4 linked regions of the Arabidopsis thaliana genome follow. The protein of the gene in region 1 interacts with the protein of each later gene in a pairwise test. Each region holds a gene or a part of one and is shown in the gene's direction. Other genes may lie near its edges.

Region 1 (4,531 bases):
TCTAGTTCGAGTTCAGTTACATGATTTCTCTCTTTAATCTCTAGTATTTTAATCCATCAAAATTATGTGGTTGCATACTCGATCGAGTTTAGTACAATTACTAAAATATGTAGCTTTGTTTAGTCATATCAAGACTATAGTAAGTTGTTACGCATGAAAGATAATTATTACATTCAAACGAATGACCACTCAATTCTTATATCAAAAAGATACAAAAAACTAAAGTCTACAACTTATAGGTTCAATGGGAGCATAAATAGTCCATATCATTGAATAATAATGGTCTTCAATAGAGTTGGTTGTTCAATTATTATTTTTGGTTTATAAGAAATGAATTGAACTTTTGTTTGTCACCATTCACATTTTCTTCTCTTTTTTGTACTTTTAGTTTTCCTAAAAATTAAAAAAACTATGTTCCCTTCGTACCTAAAACTTACTTTAAAATAACCAATTTGATGATAGTTTTTTTTAAAAAACTTCAACAAAGATTATATATTTCATCCTGAAACAAAAATTACAGCAAAATTTAAATTTAAACTAGTAGCAAAAAATATAGGATGTGCATATGTTTTCTGTTTGCCACGTCTGTTTTCCATTAAATGTACGCACAACATTGTTTGAGTTCAATTAACTATTTAAGTAATAAACAAAAACAATGCTTGAATTTCACTGAATATAGTATATAAGTAAAAATGTATACACCCCAAACGACGTCGAACCCATCGTTCAAAAGATATTGAAGTACTTGAACTAGTTGTTGAGCTAATCATCATATTACTTTATAATTTAACTACACAAAACGAGTTCTTTGAAAGATGCGAATATATATATACACACTTATACGTTATGGAGAGAACAGAAAGCTCATAAAAGCAATTTATTTCTCTCCCTTTAAGATCTTTTCTTGCTTTGTGTCCGAAACAGACAAAAATTGATTCTGTTGTTTTTTCCCATAATTAACTCACACACACACACTTAACGTACGTGCAATATCTGTATGTGTGCATAGTATATACTATAGCCACACGAGCGGTTCAAAAATGTTTTTTGGAGTTTCCGAGACTGTTGAGACTGTGGGGCCTATGGTCATCGAACCCTCCCACACGCACGAGCGGGTCTCGTTTTGCATGCATCTACACTACACGTACCCACCGACTTTTCCAAATCCCTTACTTTTGCACGTGTAGAGAGAGAGAGCTTTGTACTGAAAGTATCTCATTATTCGAAATTTTTCGTGTAAGAGTAAAAACTAAATCGCAACGTACGTGAAGGAAAACGTGAACCTTGAATATTTAATGTTTTCGTGCGGTTTCATTTTAACTATTTAATTAACACAATATTAGTACAATAACAAGCAGCTCTTATGAAGATAGTGATGAAAAATTGTTATAGATCTATCTTGGAATTTTAATGATCGAATTTCGATTTTGTACGACCACCATCGAGGCATCGACTATAAATATAGTTAAAATGTGGTTGCTGAAAAAAAAAAAAAAATGATAAATAAAATGAAACCGCACGTAATTGTATAAAACCATTAGCATGGGATTATTAGGCCACAATTTGGTAATTAACACTTGTAATTCATTTGAATATGCTTTTACAAAACTTTCCCTTCAATTTCTTTTGGTGTGTGAATAAACAGCTATCAATTTTGTTTTTCATGTACATTAAATAACCACTCTGCACTCATCATCATTTTCTAAAATATTCTTCTATATATATTAACTAGCTTGCAAATAAATGTAAATAAAAATATAAATTTCAATAATTTTTTTTAGAGAATCTCTCTTTCCTCTTCCACCATATAAACAGTGAAAAGCCATTCAAGTGCTCTCTCCCTCTATCTCTCTTCTATTTTTAGTTTCTCTTCCCTTAATCCCTAAACCCAGAAACATGAATCCAAATCTCCTTGAGAAAGATCTAAGAGGTAAGGAAACTACAAATGGGTCAATAAGATACAAAGAAGCAAACAACTTCAGATCTCTACCAAACTCACACACTGCTGCTTGTAAAACTTCACTCAACAACCCCTCTATCTCTAGAAACCATCCTCACAACAAATCAGCCTCAGTCTTGGAGTCGGAAGATGAACATGGGAACGAGAGAGGTGAAAACGAAAAGAGTTTAAGAATGAGGGGCAAAAGTGGAATTAACACAAAAGTATGCTCACGAGGACACTGGAGACCAACAGAAGATGCTAAACTCAAGGAGCTTGTTGCCCAGTTTGGTCCCCAAAACTGGAACTTGATTTCTAACCACCTTCTTGGTAGATCAGGTACATTTATTTTACTTAAAATTCTTATTACTTAATTATTTCCTTCACTTTTGTTACTCCAAATTCCGCAAATTTAACTATTTTTATGTAGAAGAAAAATAAGTAAATATATTTAAAAACTTTGGTGAGTTGAGTTTCCAAAGTTATTAGGCATTTTCGTAATTGTGTTTGGATTTTTTTAAAAATAGTTTTTACAAGTTAGACTAAGTTGTATAAGGCATAATGACATAATGCTTGATAGTAACTAATTTTTATAATGTGAGGGACACTTCTTTGACTACAGGCAAGAGTTGTAGATTGAGATGGTTTAACCAACTAGACCCAAGGATTAACAAGAGAGCCTTCACGGAGGAAGAAGAGTTTAGGCTGTTAGCAGCTCATCGAGCCTATGGCAACAAGTGGGCTTTGATCTCTCGTCTCTTTCCAGGTCGTACCGATAACGCTGTCAAGAACCATTGGCACGTCATCATGGCTCGACGGACTAGAGAAAGCCAAAGACAACGTCAACAGCCTCCTCCGACGTTGTCAAGAGACGCTGAAATGACGGTTTCGTCCTCTTGCCGCTACAATCAAGGTAAGTTCATCAATGAAGAAGATGACGACGACGATGTGTCAGCTGTCTCTACTTGTACGACGGAGCTCTCTCTCACTCCGCCTTCTTCAGCTTACCAGCCTCGCTTCTTTAATTACGATAGTACCCTTGCATCAGGTAACATTTTATTTATTTGCTTAAATATTATGTTTACTATGTTTTTTTTTTTTCTCTATTGAAAATATATTATTTTCATGACCCAAGACATTAAAAGTATAGAAACTTGGAATGTTTTTTTTCGTTTTCGGCTTTCTTGAGAAGTGTTTTCGTGAATCTAACTATAATGATCTCGGTCGGTTGGTCGAGATCGTATTGCAATCTTTATTGGGTGTATCGTTGATCATGATCGGTTTATACTTTAACCGGTACTTCCAAATATCATTTGTGGTCTAAATTTAGCTTATTAGATTCCAGTCTTGTTAATTTTTGAATGTTCAAAGCATATAAAATGATAATTTAGGCCGACATGTTGTATAACCGACGACGAGTGACCACTTCCTACACTTTTTCATATACATGGCAATAATTATAAATTTGAATGACTAGAAAAGAAAGAAACTGTTTTTACATCGTAAGAGTACCTATAGGCATAATAATATAAGGAGGTGAAGTACTATTGTCACGTTACTATTTCAATATAACAAAATTTCACGTGGGTGCTGAGAACTTATTTTTCTAATTTTGCAGGCAAAGATGGTCAGTGTGTGCAGAGAGCAGAAGTAAATGGCATATATGGTAAAAAGATGGACCATCAAAATCACCACACAATCTCAGTCAGTGAAAGAAAGGTGGAGATGAAGATGAGGAGTGGCTATTACTACTTTGATTTTCTTGGAGTTGGAGCTTCCTGATTAATTAGTTGCAGAGCTAGGGTTCAATGCTGAGGAATTGTGAGATAAGAAATGGCTTTAGTTTCTTCTATTTTTCCTGGTTAATTAGGCATGTTTGTTTAACATCTTAATTTGGGTTTTGGAAGAAGTAAGCGGTATGAGGGAAAACTGAAAACAAAAACAAAACCTAGAAGTAAAATAAAAAGTTGAATATATAATCAACCTCTTTTCTGTAGAATTAGAATAAGTGTTCATAAAATATTGCAATTTTCCTTACTCACACACGCAAATTTAACATAGATTATGAAACAATAGCAGTAACTAAAACCAGCGAGTTATTTTTGTTGGTAAATTACAAGCTTTGATCATAAACCTATTGCATTTTATAGTGCATTACATGAAGGATGTTATCTGCTATTTTTGGAATGTCACATATATAAATAATTCAGGAATTTCTAAGTAAATAATCAACGTGGGAAATGAGTTCTTGTTTAAATTTAAAATCTCAATTACTCGGCTCGGCTCGGATCCCTATTATCGGATACCAGCTACATTGTTAAGTTGGGCCTAGGACTACAAAAGAAACCCATATATAGACGTACCTTTCATTTACAAAGGGTCCAAAAAGCTCACATAGAAGTGGGCTTACTCGTTTCTTGTCGTAATTTTGAACTTAACCCTACCCTTCTTTCTCTGTTCAAAAAAAAAAAAAAAAAAAACCCTACCCTTCTTTCATTATTATATCAAGTTCACAAAATTGACATCCCCAAGAAGAAAAAATGGTAACTAGCGATCTGTGTCGAGTACTGTATTTGTACTAGTGTACTTTAC
Region 2 (3,939 bases), on another chromosome or scaffold:
ATCATAGAGTGTGTAAAAAGAGGATGTGCTGATAAACTGCAGATATTCTCAACTGATTTCATAGATAATGAATTTGTTGATGCTTGCGTTGGGCTCACCTTTGCGAGAGCTGAAGGTAAGGCCTGAGGAATGAGCGTGTGGAGACAGACTTTGTGTATCTATTTTGAAGGAAAAGAATCAGAACATGGTTGATGTGTTTTAGGGTTGCTTGTGTATAAGAGAACATGTGAGTGTGTATTTGTATGTGTGTGTGATTTACGAGTGTATATTCCAATTCATTACAACTTATTTGAATCCTGATACAATTGCGAGATATCCAAACTCTTCATTACTATTAATTTCTGATACTTTTGCAGATGTTGTAGTTGATAGACAGGCAAAACAGAAGGAAGAAGTATACAGTTGATGGTAAAATCTAGTTTTAACAAGTGAAAGAGAGCTGCTAACCTGAGAGATGACTATATTTCTGCAGCAATGCCCCTTTTTATTACACACTACTGTGATCTTCAAGAACAAAAAGATAATAGAATCAGTTATGCTAGAATTCATATCAGTAGCTAATGACACAATGCATCTCTATAATTTCATTATTTGATTATATCTATAAACTGAGATGATGGAAACATGGTGCAAAATCCTAATAATTTGAGATTAGATTTCTTCTCAAGACTTGAAACACAAAAGAAGAAGAAGAAGAGCATTTGATCCACAAGAGTGATTGAGCCGAGCCAAATTATTCTCCCTGCTGAGATCGGCAGCGAGACCACTCTTCTAGACTCTAGACATGGGATGCAGAGAAACCAACTTTTTTTATTTAAACGGCTGCGTTTTAAGTCATGTTCTCAAATGATACCAGTTTTTTTTTTTTTTTTTTTTTTGCTAAGCACAAGTTTGATTTGTTGTTTGGCACTTTACGATAACATCATTTTACTCCTATACTTTCTCACGGTAAGTGATTAAGATAAAAACATGCACATTTTTCGAATTATAAGCTAAATTTAAAGGGATCTATTTTCTATCTCTCAATAATTTTTAAATTTTACTCATTTTCTATTTCTCTTATAAATTAATTACTTGGTAATTTAGTTTTGTAATCGATACTCAAAAATCGATATCCAACAAAGGACAATCTCTTTGCGGTCAATAGTCTTCTCAAATTACTTCATACAATTATCATACTGTTTGGTAAAATTTGTGAATCTGCCTCATAAAATGTACGTGGAAAGTGGAACAACAGTTAATGCTTATTTTGACCACAAGATTGAGAAAATTTTGAAAAGAGTATATTGACCAGTTGCTGACGTTGCATGTCATTCTTTAATGTTGTTGTTGACTGCAACAAAAAATAAAATACAACATACAAAGTAAAAAAATAAAAATAAATTAATTGATCTTTGTTTCTCTATTCCCCAGAGAGCTAGCTTTTCAGATCTAAAATCAGAATCTGACGGCTGATATCCCTCGTGAAAAACACCCCAACCGTCCAGATGCAACTGCTTGCTGGGCCAATGATCCATTCTCTTTCCCGAAATGGATTAATCAATTTAAGCCTTATCACATGCTGGCCCATTTTCTAACTCCTCTTTTCTTTTTTAACTTACTTTTCTTTCTTTTAATATTTTAGTTGCAGATTCATTTTCGAAATCAACGAAATTTATGTTTTTTTAATTTTCTGGGTATCTTAATCGCGAGATTTTTTATTTTAATATCACGCTCGAATATACAATTCGGAATGTGCAGATGTTTTTTTTGAAGGCAATTTAGAAAAATAGACAAAAATCGAACAAACATATATAGAAATAGAGATCTAAATAAAAACATTTATTTTATTTCCTCTTGGAAACAAGGAAAAAATGAATTGGGGTGGGTGACGTGGCAGTCATACCCTTGCCACACCCTTCCTATACGCATATAAACAGCAGCTGCGAGGAGAGAGAGATTTCAGAGTATTTTCTAGGGTTTCGTTTTTTTTAAAGATTTAGAGAAAAAAGTGAGTTATTAAGAGATTCCAATCAAAATGAGCGGAGACAACGGCGGTGGTGAGAGGCGCAAAGGCTCCGTCAAGTGGTTTGATACCCAGAAGGGTTTCGGCTTCATCACTCCTGACGACGGTGGCGACGATCTCTTCGTTCACCAGTCCTCCATCAGATCTGAGGGTTTCCGTAGCCTCGCTGCCGAAGAAGCCGTAGAGTTCGAGGTTGAGATCGACAACAACAACCGTCCCAAGGCCATCGATGTTTCTGGACCCGACGGCGCTCCCGTCCAAGGAAACAGCGGTGGTGGTTCATCTGGCGGACGCGGCGGTTTCGGTGGAGGAAGAGGAGGTGGACGCGGATCTGGAGGTGGATACGGCGGTGGCGGTGGTGGATACGGAGGAAGAGGAGGTGGTGGTCGAGGAGGCAGCGACTGCTACAAGTGTGGTGAGCCCGGTCACATGGCGAGAGACTGTTCTGAAGGCGGTGGAGGTTACGGAGGAGGCGGCGGTGGCTACGGAGGTGGAGGCGGATACGGCGGAGGAGGTGGTGGTTACGGAGGTGGTGGCCGTGGAGGTGGTGGCGGCGGGGGAAGCTGCTACAGCTGTGGCGAGTCGGGACATTTCGCCAGGGATTGCACCAGCGGTGGACGTTAAAACCAACGCCGGTTACGCGGTGGAGAAGAGTGAGTTGGTTATCTCACAAGTGATCGGTTCTTTCTCCCGCCGCCTTCTATCTCTCTATTATCCACTTTTTGCTTATTATGATGGATCTCTATCTTTGTTAGTTGGTTTTTTCTTGATGGTTTCGGATTAGGACTCTTCTTTTGGTTTTGCTACTTATGGTTGGTTTTATTTATGGTACTTGTGATATGGGTGAAATGCTCTACTTGTTGCTCTGTTTCAAGTGTTCATAATATGCGAACAAATATTCTGGGTTTTGTTTCAGTCATCTGAATGAATCGTAAGATCTGGATACTTAAATCTTGAGAGATCATCGTTTTATGGTTGAATTATTTATGGATTATGTAACGATTCCCATAGATACAAAATCTATCTGCTCATGTTTTGCATTTAATGGCATTTAAGTTCCATGGACTGGAAGGAATTGAATACTAATTGCAGTCTCCATCATTCTCATTATTAGACTTTTTATCTTCGATGTCGTTTGTATTTTCAATCTTTTGTATATCTTCAGAAAATGTAATCTTCTCAACTTCTTTCCACCGTTTCATCATGATCACACTGGCATTTTACTGTAGCTCACACGATTCGGATTGGATTAAGTAAATAAAAGCAGATATGGGAAGATTTTAGATCTGTTGTTGTTGTTGTTACCTTGGAAATCGGAGTGCTCTCTATAAATTATCAACTTTTATCATGTTTGAACTTTCATGGTCCACAACCAAAATACCACGTGCGCATCGCTAAATGGATAACCGTAAAACCGGTTAATTTTCGGTTCACCAACCCAGTTTGGAACTAGAATAATCCGGTTTCGGTTTTATTGTTTCAAAGAAACAGAGAAGCTCTTCTCCTCTATCGACTACTCTCACTCTCTTTCTATTCTCTCTTCCGCCGCTTTTTCCATCGTTCGAAAGTAAAGTTGCTCGCTTTACTCGTTCAAGCATTCAACTTTAGAATCCGATCGAATCCTCCTGTAACAGCAATGATGAATCGGATCCTCTTGTTTATGATCCTGGCTTTTGTCTCATCTCTTTCAGGTCAATAATCGCTGTCTAATTCCTTGCTTCTTTATTGCTTGACTATCGAGTTTAACAATCTTTACACGATTTTGATTGAATTGGTTTCACATGGCAGAAGTTGAGCCAATTTCGTTCAAGATCACGAATCGTTGCCGGAACACGATATGGCCCGGTTTGCTCTCTGGTGCTAACTCAGCGCCGCTCCCCACAACTGGCTTTCGTCTCTCTAGAGGAAAATCTAAAACCGTCGCAATACCAGAG
Region 3 (4,788 bases), on another chromosome or scaffold:
AAATCCCTCTTTCACCTCTAGGCAGCTTGACATAGACAGTTTCTTGTTTCTGTTTGTTGGCGTGTTACTTGTGTGTGTTATGGCACTCGGAAATTTCACATATTGTTTCCTAGCGAAAGACCAGGTTTCGTACCTCGATAAGGTAGAGATGAGTCCGTGTTCATCAAGTCAACAAATGCCTGTCAAGAGGAAGACACAATTAAATATGTCTCAAGTTCATGACCAAGACAGTCTTTAATTTAACAAAAAAACATATGCTATTATTATACCAAACTATTGTACTTTTTTTTTCTTTTGAATGAAGAATTGTACTTTATTTTGTAAATAAGGATTTTCAGAAACAAATGACCCATTTAAGAGAGACTATCAAAGTTACAATAGAGGTAGATTTTATTACGTGTTATGCAAGACATTAAACCTAATGCTATAAATTCTTATGTGCTAACGACTAGTAGCATATTAACTTATCTGGAATTAGGGTTATACTTTTTCTTTTTTGGGTTATACTTATATGCAGTTAATATAATCTAAAGAAATTTTCACGTTTATGCTGAAAAAAAGATGTGGTCTCAGCGCAAAGTGAGATGTGGATTTCATAGTTTGACAATTAAGACATTTTAACATAGAAGTAGAAAATAGAAAGAATAAATATTAGAAACGAAAATAATTTGGATAATTGTAGTAATAGTGTTAGTTTAACCACTTTTTAATATACTTAAATGCATTCAAATGCAAATCTATTATTGTAGTAGGACAAAACCAAGTACAGGTGAATAACTGGATATATTGGTTTATTAAGATACAATTGTGTTTGTCCTGCTCTGCTTTATATCCGTAACTCCTCTGTTCTTCCATTCAGACCCAATACATATTGGTTTTCACTGGAAAAGGAGACAATAGATGGAACTGTTCACAAACAAAAGAAAAGATGGATATTTTGGTGCGTTGCGCTTTGTACTTTGTAGTGATTAGTTTGGATTTTTTCTTTTTTTGCTTTGTGGGGAATAAAGAGATAGCCTAGATGCACGTGATACGTATTCCTACAGTGCTACTGAATACTGATGTACAAATAGTTCCCTCTCGTGATTTTTGTTTGTGGTTTCAAGAGAAATGTTGCTTACATTGAAGATTGAACACACTATTATTTTAAGCCTTTTTTGCGTGTACTTAAAATATTCTTTTACATTGTTAAAAATACAAAACGTTTTTCAGTTTTACAATAAACTCACTTTTTGAAAAATATAAACGTAAATGCAAACAAAGAATCGAATTCTTATTCTTTTTGACAAAAACGAATCCACAACGTAACTAACTAATTTACTGTCAAAACCATATGATATTTTGATAGCAAACATGAATGTTTTCACTTCCTAAGATTTAATTTCTTGTAAACTATTTTTACATTATTATGGTACCTACGTGTTGAATTAAGCATATTTAGTTTCAGATCTTTTTCTTCTTCTTTTTTTCTTTCTTTTGGTTAAAGACCAATGTCTTCTCAAGATTTATTTTTCTCGTTCATTGATATTTGCTAAGTTTATTTGATGAATATTTTCCATAACCAATCAGAGTCTTTATGTTCAATCCCAACACTATTCTCAGTCAAAACTTGTTTTTTTCGAAAACAATATATAGTCTTTGGAAAAAGCTGATAAAGGTCTTTTTTAACATTGCTTTATAGAAAAAGCTGAGAAAGTTTCTTTGACGTTTTGTATAGAAAGCTGAGAAAGGTTATTTTTTTACATTACAGAAGTAAGGGATACAAAGTTGTTAGTTCATCTTCTCTCCGCTCAGAAGAAGAAAAACTTAAAAAAATTCAACGTCTGAATATGGCTAATCCACTTCTCTATTCTCCGATCAACCCACAATTCTTCCAACCACTTCTTCCCGGTTTCACCAACCACCTGGTACTCTGTTTCTCTATACTCTCTCCGACCAGTTAAGTTACTTCTGTTTGTAACTCATCTAGCATGCTGTTTCAGGACATTCCTGTGGCGTTCTTCTTGAAGTACTTAGTGGGAACTAACGTAGGAAAAACGGCTGAGCTCAGATCAGATGCATCGGAGATGACATGGAAAGTGAAGATAGACGGCCGGAGACTCTCTAATGGTTGGGAAGATTTCACAATCGCACATGATCTCCGAGTTGGTGACATTGTTGTTTTCAGACAAGAAGGAGAGTTAGTGTTCCATGTCACAGCTTTAGGACCAAGTTGCTGTGAGATTCAATACGGAGAAGATACCCTTGAAGAGGATAAAATTGGTAACCTTAGTTTCATATTAAATATCATTAGCACATTTAGAATGAGTCTAAGAATATTACTTAATCTATCAACAGAGAAACTTTGTGGTACGGAGAATGTTTCAAGTAAGAAAAAGAGTCTAAAGAGAGAAGCTGAGTCTGCACCAGACAATTCACTAGATTCTTGTTTTGTGGCCACTGTCACGGGTTCGAATCTAAAGCGCGATACATTGGTATGTTACTTCCATATTACTCATTACAGTAATTTTTATGTTATTGTATATTCTTGATAACTCTATCTAACTTGGCTTGTGGCGGCATTTGCAGTATATTCCGAAAGAGTTTGCATTGTCAAATGGTCTGATGAACAAATATCAGATTGTGTTAATGAATGAAGAAGGAGAATCATGGAAGATAGACTTGAGACGCGAGGCATATAATTACGGCCGGTTTTACATGAGAAGAGGCTGGAGAAGTTTCTGTATTGCTAATGGGAAGAAACCTGGAGACGTTTTTGCATTCAAATTGGTCAAAAATGAAGAAACACCTATGATACAGTTGTTCCCTATGACCATTGAAGATTTAGACAAACTTCGTAAGTTAATTTTCATAATCCGTTGGTTATTGAGAAAAATCTCAATCAGATTCTATAATTGATACAGAGAGTCTTCCAAGACACAAGATTCGAAAAACAGAAGCAGCTCCTTCTTCACCGGACCTTTCTTCTTTTGTAGCCACTGTCACGGCTTCAAATCTAAGCCGAGATAGACTGGTTATGATACTCCTGACTTACATATATTGATTTTGATTTGACTGAGAGGTGTTTTAATGATATTCATGGTGACTGTACTTGACTGCAGTATCTTCCGAAGACGTTCATTATGTCAAATGGTTTGTTGAAGAAATTTCAGATGTGTCTAATGAATGAAGAGGGAGAATCATGGACGATAGATGTGAAACATGAGGCACATACAGGCCGGTTTTTAACGATAAGAGGTTGGAGAAGATTCTGTGTGGCTAATGGGAAGAAACCAGGAGACTTGCTCAAATTCAAATTAGTCCATAACGAAGAAACACCTGTGCTCCAGTTGTTACCCTTGAACAGTGAAGATCTACACAAACTTAGTAAGTTGTTTATGCTTTATTCTTTCAAGAAACAAAAATATTGAAATAAAATTGAATAACAAGAAGCACTTTCTTCCTCTGCAGATCCTAGCAATGACACAAGGCATGGACAGAGTTTAAAAGTTACCAAAAAAGAGTTTCTTGGCATGGAAGCCACAGAAAATGAGTTTCTTGGGGAAGAAGTTTACTGTAATGACTCCTTTAAAGCTAGCGAGAAAGATACTCTTCCTTTTGCTGAACCTATCAATGAAGATATAAGGCAAGGACAATGTTCACAAACTATTAAACAAGAATATGTTTCCACAGAAGAGAAAAACTCAACAAGCCAAAACCGATTTGTGACCTTAACACTTACACATTCAAGTAAACTTGTAAGTTTCACAAGAAAACTCTGTTTTTTTCTTGTTTTTTTTTTTCCACTTAATACTCTCGATATATAATCTGATGATGGTATCTACAGAATCTTCCGTTTGAATTCATGAAGCGGAATGGAATCAAAAAGGCGGGGAAGATAACGATGGTTGATAGATACGATGCAAAATGGCGTACTTCACTACTGATGGACAAGATCGGAACAATGAGTTTAGGAAGAGGTTCAAAAGGTTTCTGCGAGGTTAATGGTGTTGAGATGAATGAGTCGTTTATCTTGGAGTTGATTTGGGAAGACACAGTTCCTCTTCTTAAGTTTTGTTCCAAAGTTTGAGAACAATATTAAGAATGTCTAGGATCATCGCTCAAATAAACTTCTTTCCTTCTATGGTTTAATTTTCATGTTAAAAAATGCCGTTTAAATCATCATTAATTCAGATAATATTGGTTTACTAAACAAGAATCGTTAAAGATTTTATATAATTATTTTTGGGGGTCACTAAACATCTTGATTGTCGACACCAATCATAAACTTCATACTTCAGTATGTAGTAGAGATAGACTTCTAATTAAAGGGCTATCTGCTATACATGTAGCAAAAAATCAAAATTAACATCTTATACTGTATATCTTTTTTTATCATCATATATTTTTATCTTTATATTTTACTTTAAATGATGTGAAAATCATAGATAAAATATAGGAAAATGTAACTTATATTAAAGTGAAGAGTCATTTATATTAAAGTGAAGAGGAAGAAAACAGAAACAAGTTGTAAGATATTAAGCCATATATTGCAGAAACAAAAAATGGACAAAAATCCTTACTTATTTTACTATCAAATGATTTGATATTTCTTTGTATTTTGTTTAATGTGAAGAAAATCAAGGGAAAATCTCTCTCATTTATAGTAAAGTGAAGAGGAAAAAAACAGAAACAAATTGTAAGATATTATATCATAAATTGCAGACACAAAAATCCTTAATTATATTATTATCAAATGATTTGATCTTTCTTTGTATTTTATTTAATGTGAAGAAAATAAAGGGAAAA
Region 4 (4,386 bases), about 12 Mb from region 1:
TCTCCAATACAAATTGCACATCAAACTTCAAAATTATCAAATCTTGCATGGGGCACGTGCCCCAGTACTCATACACTTGCGTCCGCCCCTGTTAGTCTCTACATACATTACACGCAAGTAAGTTAAAAAAAAATCAGTCGCCGATCGCTGACGTATCGATTACAAAAAGAACAGGGTCATTCCTTTTCAAAAGCCATAGAATTTGATAGCAAAAAACTTAGAGATAAGTTCAAGTAAACTGAGATAAAAGAGTAAAGAAGTACGTGTCCAGAAATCGCTGTCCACAGAGGTTTGTTCATTTAACTCTGTTAAGATGATCTTCTCGATTGGATTTTAAGGTTTTAAAATACAAGTCCAAGTTTGATTTTATATACAGAACATCTCAAGATATAACATAAATGATCACAAATTCAAGGGAAAAACGTGTCCAGAAGTCGTTGTCCACATAGGTATGTCCATTTAACTCTGTTAAGATGATTTTCTCGATTGGATTTTGAGATAAAAAGGTAAAGAAGAACGTGTCCAGAAATCGCTGTCCACAGAGGTCTGTTCATTTAGCTCTGTTAAGGTGATCTTCTCGATTGGATTTTGAGATAAAAAAGTAAAGAATAACGTGTCCAGAAATCGTTATCCACAGAGATCTGTTCATTTAACTCTGTTAAGATGATCTTCTCGATTTTGCTCCAAATTTTTAACATCTATATCTTAAACACAAACGTAGAAATCAGTCTAACATCTGTGAATGAAAATTAGTCTCAGATCTAAGCTAAAATCTCCATCAATTTCACAGAACCAGAACTAGCAACAAGGTTCTTCAATAAGTGAATCAACCATCAAAAAACTTATAAACCGTTTATGATGAACACATAAGATAACCAGATTTTCTGAATATATACAACTCAAATATAATCATGAATCAAATTCACAGAACATGGACTAAGCAACGAGTTCCATCAATTAGTGATTCGACAATTGCTATCAAATAATTCGAAGTCCACTGCGAGGCTTTAATCTCCAATTTAAGAGAATAATCTCGAATATGAAATTGGAGAAGAAAGACAAAGAATTAAAGAGCAAGTAATCAGATTAATTTTGCAACAAATAACAAAAACATAAAACAAAAACCAAACCGCAAATCCAATTCAATTATTCAACGAGTCATGTAACTAAATCAGCCAGATCGGGCAGATTCTCAAATTGATGGTTTGAAAAAATTCTCCTTCAAGTCAGATCAAAGCAGATGTGGAAAATTTAAAAAGCTGAATTTCAATCTCTCTTTCTCATAAAAGCGGATGATTTGTTGAAGATGGAAGAAGGAAAAAGGAAGAAATCTATTTTTTGGCTTGATTTTTGTTTATTTCTCGATAAAGTAAAAGAAAAAGAGAGAATAAATAAGAGAAGGAGAGAGATAAAACGATATGTGATTAGACGATAAATGAGTCAAATCATCTATTCAAAATGCTTTATCTTTAAAAAGTGTCTAACCATAAAAATGTTTTTTAAAAAATATCTTACAGTGTAATATTCTCTAAAAACAACTACCATCGAGTTAAAATAACGTCATTAAATTACCTTAACTAAATTCAAGTAATAATAGTCAAGTTATAATACATTAATGATCTTGAAATAATTGATGCAAGTTTGACAACTACAGTTTGATGACACGCGACAAAACTTCCCACGCGCTCCAAAAGTTAGAAAATCTTATCCATTTTGATTTTAACCTTATCCAATTTACCAAAATCAGCTCTTTTCTTTGGTAAGTCTAAAAATTAAAACTCACGTGCCACATATGCGCGTGGTATTTTAAAAAAGTAATAAAAGTCAATTAATTACAATTTGGGATAAATTACCAAAAGTTCTCAAAGGTTCTCAATTCGACACAAAAAGCCCTAATCTCTGCTTCTGTAAAGTTCAACATTTGGCGGAGTCAAAGAAACAGAGTGATTCTCTGATCCGATTCCGGCGAAAGAGGACGAAACAAACGGAACTTGTTCATCATCTTCTCCAGAAATGACGTCGTTTCAGGTGATGCGTTCTTCAAATTCGAGAAACTCGGATCTATCTCGTCGCATCTCTTCTGCTTCTACTTCTTCTTCGTCTATAAGACCTCAACAACAGTTCCGGCGAGATCTAACAAGTGTCGGTTACGGCGGAAGAAACGACGGATTATACAGTTCAAATTCGATGACGGTCGAAGGGATTTTACACGATACTTTCGCATCAGATCCACCAGCACCAACGGAATCTTCACTCTTAGATGCGTCGATAAATCTGATGGATGCTTCTCCAGCACCAATGGAGATAACAACAACGACGGCTTCTGATGTTGTGGATCACGGCGGAGGAACGGAGACGACGCGTGGTGGGAAGAGTGTTGATGAGATTTGGAGAGAGATGGTATCAGGAGAAGGTAAAGGGATGAAGGAAGAGACGTCGGAAGAGATAATGACGTTAGAGGATTTTCTAGCGAAAGCTGCGGTGGAAGACGAAACAGCGGTGACGGCGTCGGCGGAGGATTTGGATGTGAAGATTCCGGTGACGAATTACGGATTCGATCATTCTGCACCGCCGCATAATCCGTTTCAGATGATTGATAAAGTAGAAGGATCAATAGTTGCGTTTGGGAATGGTTTAGATGTTTACGGAGGAGGAGCTAGAGGGAAGAGAGCGAGAGTGATGGTTGAGCCATTGGATAAAGCAGCTGCACAGAGACAGAGAAGGATGATTAAGAATCGTGAATCTGCAGCTAGGTCTAGAGAGAGGAAACAAGCTTATCAAGTTGAGTTAGAAGCTTTGGCTGCGAAGCTTGAGGAAGAGAATGAGTTGCTTTCTAAGGAGATTGAAGATAAGAGGAAAGAGAGATACCAGAAGTTGATGGAGTTTGTGATTCCTGTTGTTGAGAAACCGAAGCAGCAGCCACCACGGTTTTTACGCAGGATTCGGTCTTTGGAATGGTGATAAGAGGTATAGACTTTTGAGGATTTTAGGGTCTTAATGTTACTTACTTTGTGTATGTGTGTGTGAGAGTTGATTCATAATCTGCAGTAGAGTGTAATGATTATGGTTAATAACTTATATATTATATTAGATTGCATATGTTATTGGTTTTGCTGAGATTGATCTTATTTAGGCTGATCATAGTGAAGAGGGTACCAATGGAAACGAGATTCTTCATTTTGTTCTGAAAGATCTGGATTTTGGTCCTTATCCATGTCTGTGGAGGTAAAGCGAACAGAAGTGCAGTGATGACATCGTTTCCTGCTATGTACTTTGCTTCTGGACCATACTCAGAACCTTTGGTGACAGATTGGGTTGACGGCACCAATAGGCCAACCTCTTGTTCATTATTGGTATTAACTACCATCCCTGCTGTCACTTTAGCTTCCTCAACCCCAGGCATCAATGCATTTAACAGAACTATCTCGACAATAGAAGTCTTTCGATGAGCTTCCAGATAAGATAAGAGCTCCTGAAGTTAAGAACTTTCTGACGTGCTCCAACAGTTACAGTTCCATGCACTTGTGTCACTGCATCTCGCTGTGACCAGAGATTAGATAATCAAGTCAAGTGAAGATATTGATGGCCACAATGAACATTTAAGTAGGAGAATGAGATTTGAAAATCTCTCTGAATCATACATAGAATAAAGAGATTTTCTAAGAATCAAAACCATATCTCTGTCAGTATTTATAGCCACTGATCGGTGAAAAAGTGACCAGATCCAGTCTGCAATAGGATCTGTTAGAATCCGGATTCAAAATTTGACTGTCTAATACGAATGATCCTTAGCAAAACAGTGTACACAGTTGGGACTAAGGGATACTGTTGTTTTGAATGTAAGCCTTTGGTACTTATTTGTGGATAGTGGATTCATAATCTGCATTTGAGTGTGATGAAATATGATTCTAGGATTCTTAACTTATTGTGATTAACAATTTATAGAATGCAAGTTACATATATCTCTCATTGCAAATAGAGTTTGAATCGTACAGAGAATAAAGAGACTTTCTAACAATTAAGTGTTGAGAACGTGGGATTCAAATGGGGAAGAGAGAGGATTTGGGACAATGAACTAATAGGCAGGAGCAGCGAGATCATCCTCTTCCTTGTTCTCTTGGCATCGTTTTAGCAGCTGAAGTTGCCGTCGAAGATGCAATACCTGCATTTACACCAAATTCACCACGTTACTCATCTGCTTCACAGATTCATTTCACCAAGTACTCATTTAGATTCGGCATTTGATTTAGCTATATCTAAGGATGAACTCGAAAATAGTCATTGTCAATCTCAACTTAGATTAAGTTATTTGTTTCTTTTCCAAAAGACTTATATATCTCAAGTACAAAGATCCCATTTTCCACTAGAGAGAGAACCGTGACTCTT

What was found.
Region 2: the proteins of MYB56 (region 1) and GRP2 interact in a two-hybrid assay, tested with the Arabidopsis thaliana proteins (one large-scale study listed by BioGRID).
Region 3: the proteins of MYB56 (region 1) and AT2G24700 interact in a two-hybrid assay, tested with the Arabidopsis thaliana proteins (one large-scale study listed by BioGRID).
Region 4: the proteins of MYB56 (region 1) and AT5G44080 interact in a two-hybrid assay, tested with the Arabidopsis thaliana proteins (one large-scale study listed by BioGRID).

Annotation. Positions count from the first base shown.
Region 1 is NC_003076.8:5,875,351-5,879,881, forward strand, and holds MYB56 (myb domain protein 56), read left to right. Parts: upstream 1-1,762; 5' UTR 1,763-1,896; coding exon 1,897-2,278; intron 2,279-2,561; coding exon 2,562-2,987; intron 2,988-3,557; coding exon 3,558-3,721; 3' UTR 3,722-3,981; downstream 3,982-4,531. UniProt on the Arabidopsis thaliana protein: Acts as a cell-specific local repressor of quiescent center (QC) self-renewal by cell divisions in the primary root. Counteracts brassinosteroid (BR)-mediated cell division in the QC cells.
Region 2 is NC_003075.7:18,070,930-18,074,868, reverse strand, and holds GRP2 (glycine rich protein 2), read left to right. Parts: upstream 1-1,686; 5' UTR 1,687-2,017; coding exon 2,018-2,629; 3' UTR 2,630-3,420; downstream 3,421-3,939. Other genes in the region: AT4G38690 (PLC-like phosphodiesterases superfamily protein), read left to right, coding at 1-126; AT4G38670 (Pathogenesis-related thaumatin superfamily protein), read left to right, coding at 3,642-3,696, 3,794-3,939.
Region 3 is NC_003071.7:10,512,330-10,517,117, reverse strand, and holds AT2G24700 (Transcriptional factor B3 family protein), read left to right. Parts: upstream 1-1,706; 5' UTR 1,707-1,829; coding exon 1,830-1,907; intron 1,908-1,982; coding exon 1,983-2,262; intron 2,263-2,337; coding exon 2,338-2,474; intron 2,475-2,568; coding exon 2,569-2,836; intron 2,837-2,903; coding exon 2,904-3,013; intron 3,014-3,101; coding exon 3,102-3,366; intron 3,367-3,450; coding exon 3,451-3,737; intron 3,738-3,826; coding exon 3,827-4,069; 3' UTR 4,070-4,234; downstream 4,235-4,788. Other genes in the region: GLR2.3 (glutamate receptor 2.3), read left to right, coding at 1-238.
Region 4 is NC_003076.8:17,737,362-17,741,747, reverse strand, and holds AT5G44080 (Basic-leucine zipper (bZIP) transcription factor family protein), read left to right. Parts: upstream 1-1,798; 5' UTR 1,799-2,013; coding exon 2,014-2,961; 3' UTR 2,962-3,874; downstream 3,875-4,386. Other genes in the region: CAD1 (phytochelatin synthase 1 (PCS1)), read right to left, coding at 4,076-4,162.